2 linked regions of the Macaca mulatta genome follow. Each later gene encodes a partner of the first gene's protein in a complex. Links are inferred from orthologs where the notes say so. Each region holds a gene or a part of one and is shown in the gene's direction. Other genes may lie near its edges. The genes, in order: APAF1 and CASP9.

What was found.
Region 2: the proteins of APAF1 (region 1) and CASP9 are in contact, whole or in part, in a crystal structure (PDB 4RHW), measured with the Homo sapiens proteins. The link is inferred for Macaca mulatta from reciprocal best matches to the Homo sapiens genes APAF1 and CASP9. Residues at the interface, in NP_863651.1 of Homo sapiens: Thr22, Ser23, Tyr24, Met26, Asp27, Ile30, Ser31, Ile37, Glu40, Glu41, Arg44; in NP_001220.2 of Homo sapiens: Asp23, Trp26, Asp27, Leu30, Arg36, Pro37, His38, Glu41, Gln44, Arg45.

Annotation. Positions count from the first base shown.
Region 1 is NC_133416.1:105,957,671-105,961,486, forward strand, and holds part of APAF1 (apoptotic protease-activating factor 1), read left to right. Parts: intron 1-727; coding exon 728-840; intron 841-945; coding exon 946-1,077; intron 1,078-3,816. UniProt on the Homo sapiens protein: Oligomeric Apaf-1 mediates the cytochrome c-dependent autocatalytic activation of pro-caspase-9 (Apaf-3), leading to the activation of caspase-3 and apoptosis. This activation requires ATP. Isoform 6 is less effective in inducing apoptosis.
Region 2 is NC_133406.1:225,535,108-225,538,923, forward strand, and holds part of CASP9 (caspase-9), read left to right. Parts: exon of another isoform or gene 1-659; coding exon 660-807; exon of another isoform or gene 808-1,085; intron 1,086-2,540; exon of another isoform or gene 2,541-3,816. UniProt on the Homo sapiens protein: Involved in the activation cascade of caspases responsible for apoptosis execution. Binding of caspase-9 to Apaf-1 leads to activation of the protease which then cleaves and activates effector caspases caspase-3 (CASP3) or caspase-7 (CASP7).

The DNA of each region.
Region 1 (3,816 bases):
GCTTTTGTAATTTTTCAACCTATATATGTGCCTAGAGTATTTTTTTGTAACGTGCAGCCACAGTGTGTCATTTAGACAAAAATGCTAGTGTATAATTATGCTATCAGGTTTTAGTTATATTTTTTCCCTTCATCTGTTCTAGTGAGTTTAGAAAAGTTTTTAGAGAGACCAATTGGGAATTGATATAGAGGTTCTTAGTTACTATGAATAAACACATTGTTTAAAAAAAAACCACTTGTATGAAAGGTAATGTTCTTTTAGGTTGCAACATTTGAAATTGCTAGTTTTATAGGTAAAAAATGGTTACATATCATCGTTACTGTATGATGCATTCTAATGCTAACCTGAGCTCAGTTCTAGTTTGGTTTTGTTGCTTAAAGACTGAGTTGGAAAATCCCATTACTTGGATAGTAATGGTCCCCCTTTTTTTTTTTAAGGCACTCAGTAAGTGGTGGCTGAACCTTTTATGGTAGGATCTGTAATTTTAATATGTTCTGATTTAGGGTTTGAGGAGAAAGAAGTCTCTAATTTTTTTTTTCCGTATTTGAATCAGCATATTGAGAAAAGAGTGTAGCAAAGAGGAAGACTCATTTTCCTAAACCTAGCTATCTATTTGTTTAAAAAAATTTTTAATTTGGTAGATTTTAAAAGACACTGGTGTGATTATCTTTTTAAAAGGAAGCTTAAAATAAGTGTCATTAGTGATTAATTTTTTTTTTTTAATTAGGTCTCTGTTGATCTTGGATGATGTTTGGGACTCTTGGGTGTTGAAAGCTTTTGACAATCAGTGTCAGATTCTTCTTACAACCAGAGACAAGAGTGTTACAGATTCAGTAATGGGTAAGATTATTCATTAACTTTTTAGTACCTTTATATTTAATTCAATTACATTTAAATATGTGGCATACCAAATTACTTACTTTGTCTTGTGATTTTTGTTTGCAGGTCCTAAATATGTAGTCCCTGTGGAGAGTTCCTTAGGAAAAGAAAAAGGACTTGAAATTTTATCCCTTTTTGTTAATATGAAGAAAGCAGATTTGCCAGAACAAGCTCATAGTATTATAAAAGAATGTAAAGGTATGGTTATTTATTTTGTTTATGAGGAGGTTATAGGGAGTTATATAATTTCCCTTTTGTAAATTAAGCTAACAAATGTGATAACTTAGCACATGAACATCCAAGAACTTTTCTGGGAGATTTAGTATTTTAGGTTCTTCTCTGATATCTTAAATGGATACATGATGTTATGGTATTTATTTATTCATTAAAATAATATTTACTATCTACCCACAGTGTGTTAGAGACCACATTAGCGAGAGAAGTGAGACACAGATGTGACCTCTGCTGTCAGAGTTAAAAATATAGTGAGAATCAGATTTAAAACTTGTATTTGCTTGGGATTTTATAAAAATAGTATTCTAATTTGGTAAGTTAAAACTGGTGTCTTAATTTGCATTTTTCGTTAGTGAAGTTAAACTTTTTACTTGTTTATTGAATATGTTTTAAGAAATTATCCTTGACTTTAAGAAATTATCCTTGACTCACTTTTCTTTTTTGATATAAGCATTTTTAACTTATTTCTAAATACTCTAAAAATTGAAACTATTAGCTCTTTGTCATATTTTTACAAGTATTATTTCCCAGTAAAACAGTTTTTTAATGTAAAATTTATATATAGGATCTCGCTATGTTGCCCAGGCTGGTCTTGAACTACTTGCCTCAAATGATCCTCCTACCTTAGCCTCCCAAAGCGCTGGGACTACAGGCATGAGTCACCATGTCCAGCCTGTTTCCCAGTTTTTTGTGTACTTTTTATTTGTTGTATTCTTTTGACATATAGAAGCTTAAAATTTTATACAGTCAAATCTATCAACTCTTAAAATTATTTCTTTCATTGTTGCTATGCTTGGAAATACCTTCTTTTTCTTCTTTTTCTTTTTTTTTCTCTTTTGAGACGGAATCTCACTCTGTCGTCCAGGCTGGAGTGCAGTGGCGTGATCTTGGCTCACTGCAACTTCTGCCTCCCAGGTTCAAGCAGTTCTTCTGCCTCAGCCTCTCGAGTATCTAGAACTACAGGCATGTGCCACCATGCCCGGCTAATTTTTATATTTTCAGTAGAGACGAGGTTTTGCCATGTTGGTCAGGCTGGTCTCAAACTCCTGACCTCAGGTGATTGCCTGCCTCGGCCTCCCAAAGTGCTGGGATTATAGGCATGAGCTACCATACCTGGCCACCTTATTTTTCATTTTGCCATCAAATAGAGACACAGTTTTGTTTGTTTATTTATTTATTTTTTGAGACTGAGTCTCACTCTGTCGCCCAGACTTCGGTGCAGTGGCGTGATCTCTGCTCACTGCAACCTCTGCTGCCCAGGTTCAAGTGATCCTCCTGCCTCAGCCTCCTAATAGCTGGGATTACAGGCATGTGCCACTGCACCCAGCTAATTTTTGTAGTTTTAGTAGAGACGGGGTTTCACCATCGTGGCCAGGGTAGTCTTGAACTTCTGACCTCGTGATCCACCTGCCTCGGCCACCCAAAGTGCTGGGATTACAGGCCTGAGCCACCACACCTGGCCAGTTTTGTTTATTTTTGAAGAAATCTTACACTTAGGAAAAATGCTTGATTTGTAGTTATTACAAAGGGTGATGCATGTCCATTTTGAAAATGTGTGAAACTATAAAGAAAAAAATAGAAATTATCCATAATCTGATAATTATTAGCATCATGAGAGTATTGCCTCCAGTCTTTTAGAACAAAGATTTTAAAAATTGAGATTATGTATACATAGTTTTGGATCTTGCCCTTATTTTTGAAGAGCCAGGGTCTTGCTCTGTCACCCAGGCTGGAGTGCAGTGACAAGATCACAGCTCACCGCAGGCTTGAATGTCTCGTCTTAAGCAATCCTCCTGCCCCTGCCTCCTGAATAGCTGGGACTGCAGATACTCACCACCTACCTGGGTAATTTTTAATTTTTTTTGTAGGGATAGGGTCTCACTATGTTGCCCAGGCAGGTCTCAAACTTCTGCCCTCAAGCAATCCTCCCACCTCAGTCTCCTGAAGTGCTAAAACTAAGACGCATGTCACCACACCCAGCTGGACCTTACCCTTTTTTTTTTTTCTTTTGAGACGGAGTCTCGCTCTATTGTCCAGGCTGGAGCACAGTGGCGTGATCTTGGCTCACTGCAAGCTCCGCCTCCCGGGTTCACGCCATTCTCCTGCCTCAGCCTCCTGAGTAGCTGGGACTACAGGTGCCCACCACCATGCCCCGCTAATTTTTTTGTATTTTTAGTAGAGGCGAGGTTTCACCACGTTAGCCAGGCTAGTCTTGATCCCCTGACTTTGTGATCTGCCCGCCTTGGCCTCCCGAAGTGCTGGGATTACAGGTGTGAGCCACTGCGCCTGGCTGACCTTACCCTTTTTATATATCTTGAGCATTTTCCCATGTTGTTAAATATTTTTTTGAAAAAAATTTACCAGTGGCATAATATTGATATATCTTAATTTATTCAACCACTTCTCTGTTATTGGACATTGTTTACATTATTTAAGATTTTTTTCACCGTTCTAAGTATGCTGTGATGAATATCCTTAAATTTAATCATTCTTTTTTTTTTTTTTTATTTAAGACAGGCTCTCACACTGTTTCCCAGGCTGGGATGCAGTGGTGCCATCATGGCTCACTGTAGCCTCAGCCTCCTGGACTGAAGCAATCCTCCTACCTCAGCCTCCTAAGTAGCTGGTACTATAGGCACGTACCACCACACCTGGCTGATATTTCTAATTTTTATTTTTAGTAGAGACAAGGTCTCATTATGT
Region 2 (3,816 bases), on another chromosome or scaffold:
ATCAGGATTTCTAGTTTCTCTTGACAAACCGCAAAGGTCTAGCCTGACCAGGCCAGCATCCTCAGCCAGTAAAACTCCAGCCTGTGGCTGGGAAGGGCTTTTCCTTTGGTCCTTTCTCTCATAATGTGGTCTCTAGAGCTCACGAGGAATGTGGACTCCCAGGCCCTACCCTGGACCTCTTCATTCCGAGTCTGCCCAGTAACAAGGTTCCCAGGTGATTTCTGTGCACTTAGGTTTGAGCTGAATTGATTTAAAGCAGCCACTTTCAGCATTGAGCTGCCTCAGTCAGAGGGGCCTGGAGGACCAGACTGCTGATTAGGAGGTCTGGGTGGGGCCCGGGAATTGCATTTCTTACACGTTCCCAAGCCATATCGATGCTGCTGCTGCAGGGGCCAAACTTTGAGAACCACTGGTCTAGAGGCCACAGCCAGCACTCTCCAGGCACACTGTCTGGCCCCTAGAGGCACATGAGTTTGAGATGAGACCCCTGGAATAGATGCTGACTAGGGTCTTTCCAGAACCAACCTGCTCTGTCTCAATCAGCCTCATGCCCCTGGCTTTGACCTTCCAAATCCTTGGCCCCCACAAAACTTCTGAACAGGCTGTTGGATTCCTACTCCAACTTCTTGGTTTTGTAACCAGGGTTCTTGGTCTTCTAGGCCAGCCACCTGCAGTTCCCAGGGGCTGTCTACGGCACAGATGGATGCCCTGTGTCGGTCGAGAGGATTGTGAACATCTTCAATGGGACCAGCTGCCCCAGCCTGGGAGGGAAGCCCAAGCTCTTTTTCATCCAGGCCTGTGGTGGGGGTAAGCAGCTCCTTGGCCTCCCACTGGGTGGGTCTGATGAACAGGGAGCCACCACCTGCTTCTTTCTCCAGCCTGCCCCTCACAGAGCCCACGAGGTCTCTCCAGGCAGTCAGAGGGTACCACACGTGGTCCGTTTTTGGCAGCACCTCTGCCTGGCTGGAGCAGGCCCCGCTCTGTCGGCTCTGTAGAGGTTGGAGTCTTCAGTTTCATGGCACAGTGGCATCATGGGCTCGTGTAACTTTGGCAGCTTCAATTCCAGAGACTTGGCAAAAAAGAAACTAAACAGAAGAGAGAGGAGAAACCTCTTTTTATTTTTCTTGTCACCATTCCCCTGACCTCCATCAACCAAACCCCGTTTCCACTATCCCAGAGAAAGGGTGGCCACAGCTAAACTGCACGGAGAAACCAAAGAATTTAATTATTGGAATTTTCAAAAGCGTAGTTGTGGGGGTTTGAGGAATGTTTAGGGATTACTTGAGCTGGGCACAGTGTCTCATGCCCAACAGTTTGGGAGGCCAAGGCAGGAGAATTGCTTGAGCCAGGAGTTCGAGACCCGCCTAGGCAACACAGCGAGACCCTGTCTCTATTTTTGTTTTGTTTTTTAAAGAATTACTTGGATTATTTGTAGTTTTGCTATATGCTCTGATTTTAAACTTAACTCCTACTACAGTGTTACCTGATTTTCTTATAAAAAAGAGGGAAGAGAGGGAAACATGGGGATTCCTGGCTTGTGGGTCATGACAGGAATATCAGGGAGCACTAGAAATTCTGTCCCAGGGAGTCCCCTCTGCCCTAGACTCTCCACAGACTGGGACATTCAGAACGTATATCAGTTCCTTGCCTCCAGCCTGATCTGCCAGAGAAGCAGGCACTGTTACACCATAGTGCTGTCCAGCTTGTCCAGCTGTGACGTGGGCACCTGTGGTGTATTTCTCCTGCGCACATCCAACTGCCCCATCCCTATTCCACGTTGGCAGAGTTGGGTGGAGGCTACCTAGGAGAGCAGCCTCTGGTCACATCATTCATCCAGTAGGTGTTTACTGAGCACCAGCTGTATATACCAGGCTGTGTGTTAGGTGCTGGGGATAGGGGAAAACAGAGTTTCAGTCTCCTGGAATTTATAATTTGACATGAACTGTATTAAATCACTGTCATAACCCATGCCCATAACTTGACCACAAGTGATTGAGAACACTTGATTAAACCCTGGATCGGCTACTGACCTGTCTATCACATAATCCTAGGCCAGTTCATCTCTAGACATCTCAGCAAACGGGGAAAATAACAGAACCCACTCCCAAGCTCAGGTGATCCTCCCACCTCAGCCTCCTGAGTAGCTGGGGCTACAGCTGCCCACTACCACGCCCAGCTGATTTTTCTTTTTTTTTTTTTTGTAGAGACAGGGTTTTGCCATGTTGCCCAGGCTGGTCTTGAACTCCTGGGTTCAAGTGATCTGCCCACTTCGGCCTCCCAGAGTGCTGGGATTATAGGCATGAGCCACTGTGCCCGGGCAACTTTAATAATATTTAATGCACTAATTGGTGTGTGTACAGTGACTGGTTCATTTTAATAACTGAAAACCCAGACTGCTCCCCACTCCCACCCCGGAAGACCCAGTGACACATAAGAGCCCCCCACCCCACTGCCGCCAGCACAGTTGCCTCAGGACAGCAGTAATAGGAAGCAAGGAAGGCTGCCACTCTCGGGGCTATAGAAACCCTGCTCTGCCTCACCTCCTGTCTTGTCCATAGTGTGTGGTCCAGCAATGTTCTTCCTCTGGAGCCTGCGCTCCCTCTTTCTCGTATGAATCAAATGAAAGACAGAAAGGGCAAGGGAATTAGGAATGCAGGCTGAGCGGGCATACCTGCTTTCTGGACGGTTAGCTGTTCTTGTGCTCCTCCCATGCCCCATCCAGTCTCAGTCTCAACAGCGGAGGGCCTTTGTCACTTGAATATCTGCTGTCACTCTTAGGACTCAGTAGCAGGGCTTCCAAGGGCTTTGGTGACCTGGCCCCTGCCATTTCACCTCCCCCAGCCTGACATGCTCCAAGTCCCCCAGCATGGCCCAGCCTTCACAGGATGTCCAGGCTGTTGCTTGCTCTTCTACCTGATCCCCTGGCTAACTCTGTTTTTAAAATTCATTTTTACTTATTTTGTTTTAGAGATGGGGGTCTCACTATATTGCCCAGGCTAGTCTTGAACTATTGGGCTCAAGTGATACTCCCACCTCTGCCTCCCAAAGTGCTGGGATCACAGGCATGAGCCATCGTGCCTGGCACCTGGCTGACTCTTAATCATCCATCCTTCTGGTTACAATTTATTGTCACCACCTACAGAAGGTCTTCCCTAAACACCCCCTTTCTTGGCCAAAGTCAGGGTTAGCTGGCCTTTGTGCTCCTGCAGCCTCTGTCCCTCCCCTGCCATAGCACTGTCTCATTGTATTGAGCTAGGTCTGTCCCCTGGTCAGCTCCGAGTAGAGGGCAAGGCCTACCCCACAGCCAGGCCCCCAGCCTGGCACAGAGCCCACAGTCCCGTTGCACCTCATGTGAATTCTAATTTGAATTTAAAGGAGAACCATATAAAAGCATCTATGTGGTTCATGCCTGTAATCCCAACAGTTTGGGAGGCCGAGGTGGGAGGATCTCTTGAGACGAGGACTTTGAGACCAGTCTCTATAACAAATTTTGAAACATTAGCCAGGTGTGGTGGTGTGTGCCTATGGTCCCAGCTACTTGGGATGTTTAGGCAGGAAGATTGCTTGGGCCCTGGATGTCGAGGCTACAGTGAGCCATGTTTGCCTTATTGCACTCCGGCCTGGGTGACAGAGTGAGACCCTGTCTCTAAAAAAAAAAAAAACAAAACCAAAAAAAACTATGAGCCAAATTTGGCATAATGTAGATTTCCATCATTAAAACAAAAGTCAGAAAACAGCAAGATTTCAAAGCCAGCATGCAGTGATTAAGATGCCCATTTGGAGCTGGGTTCCTGCTTTGCCTCCGCAGGCTGCGTG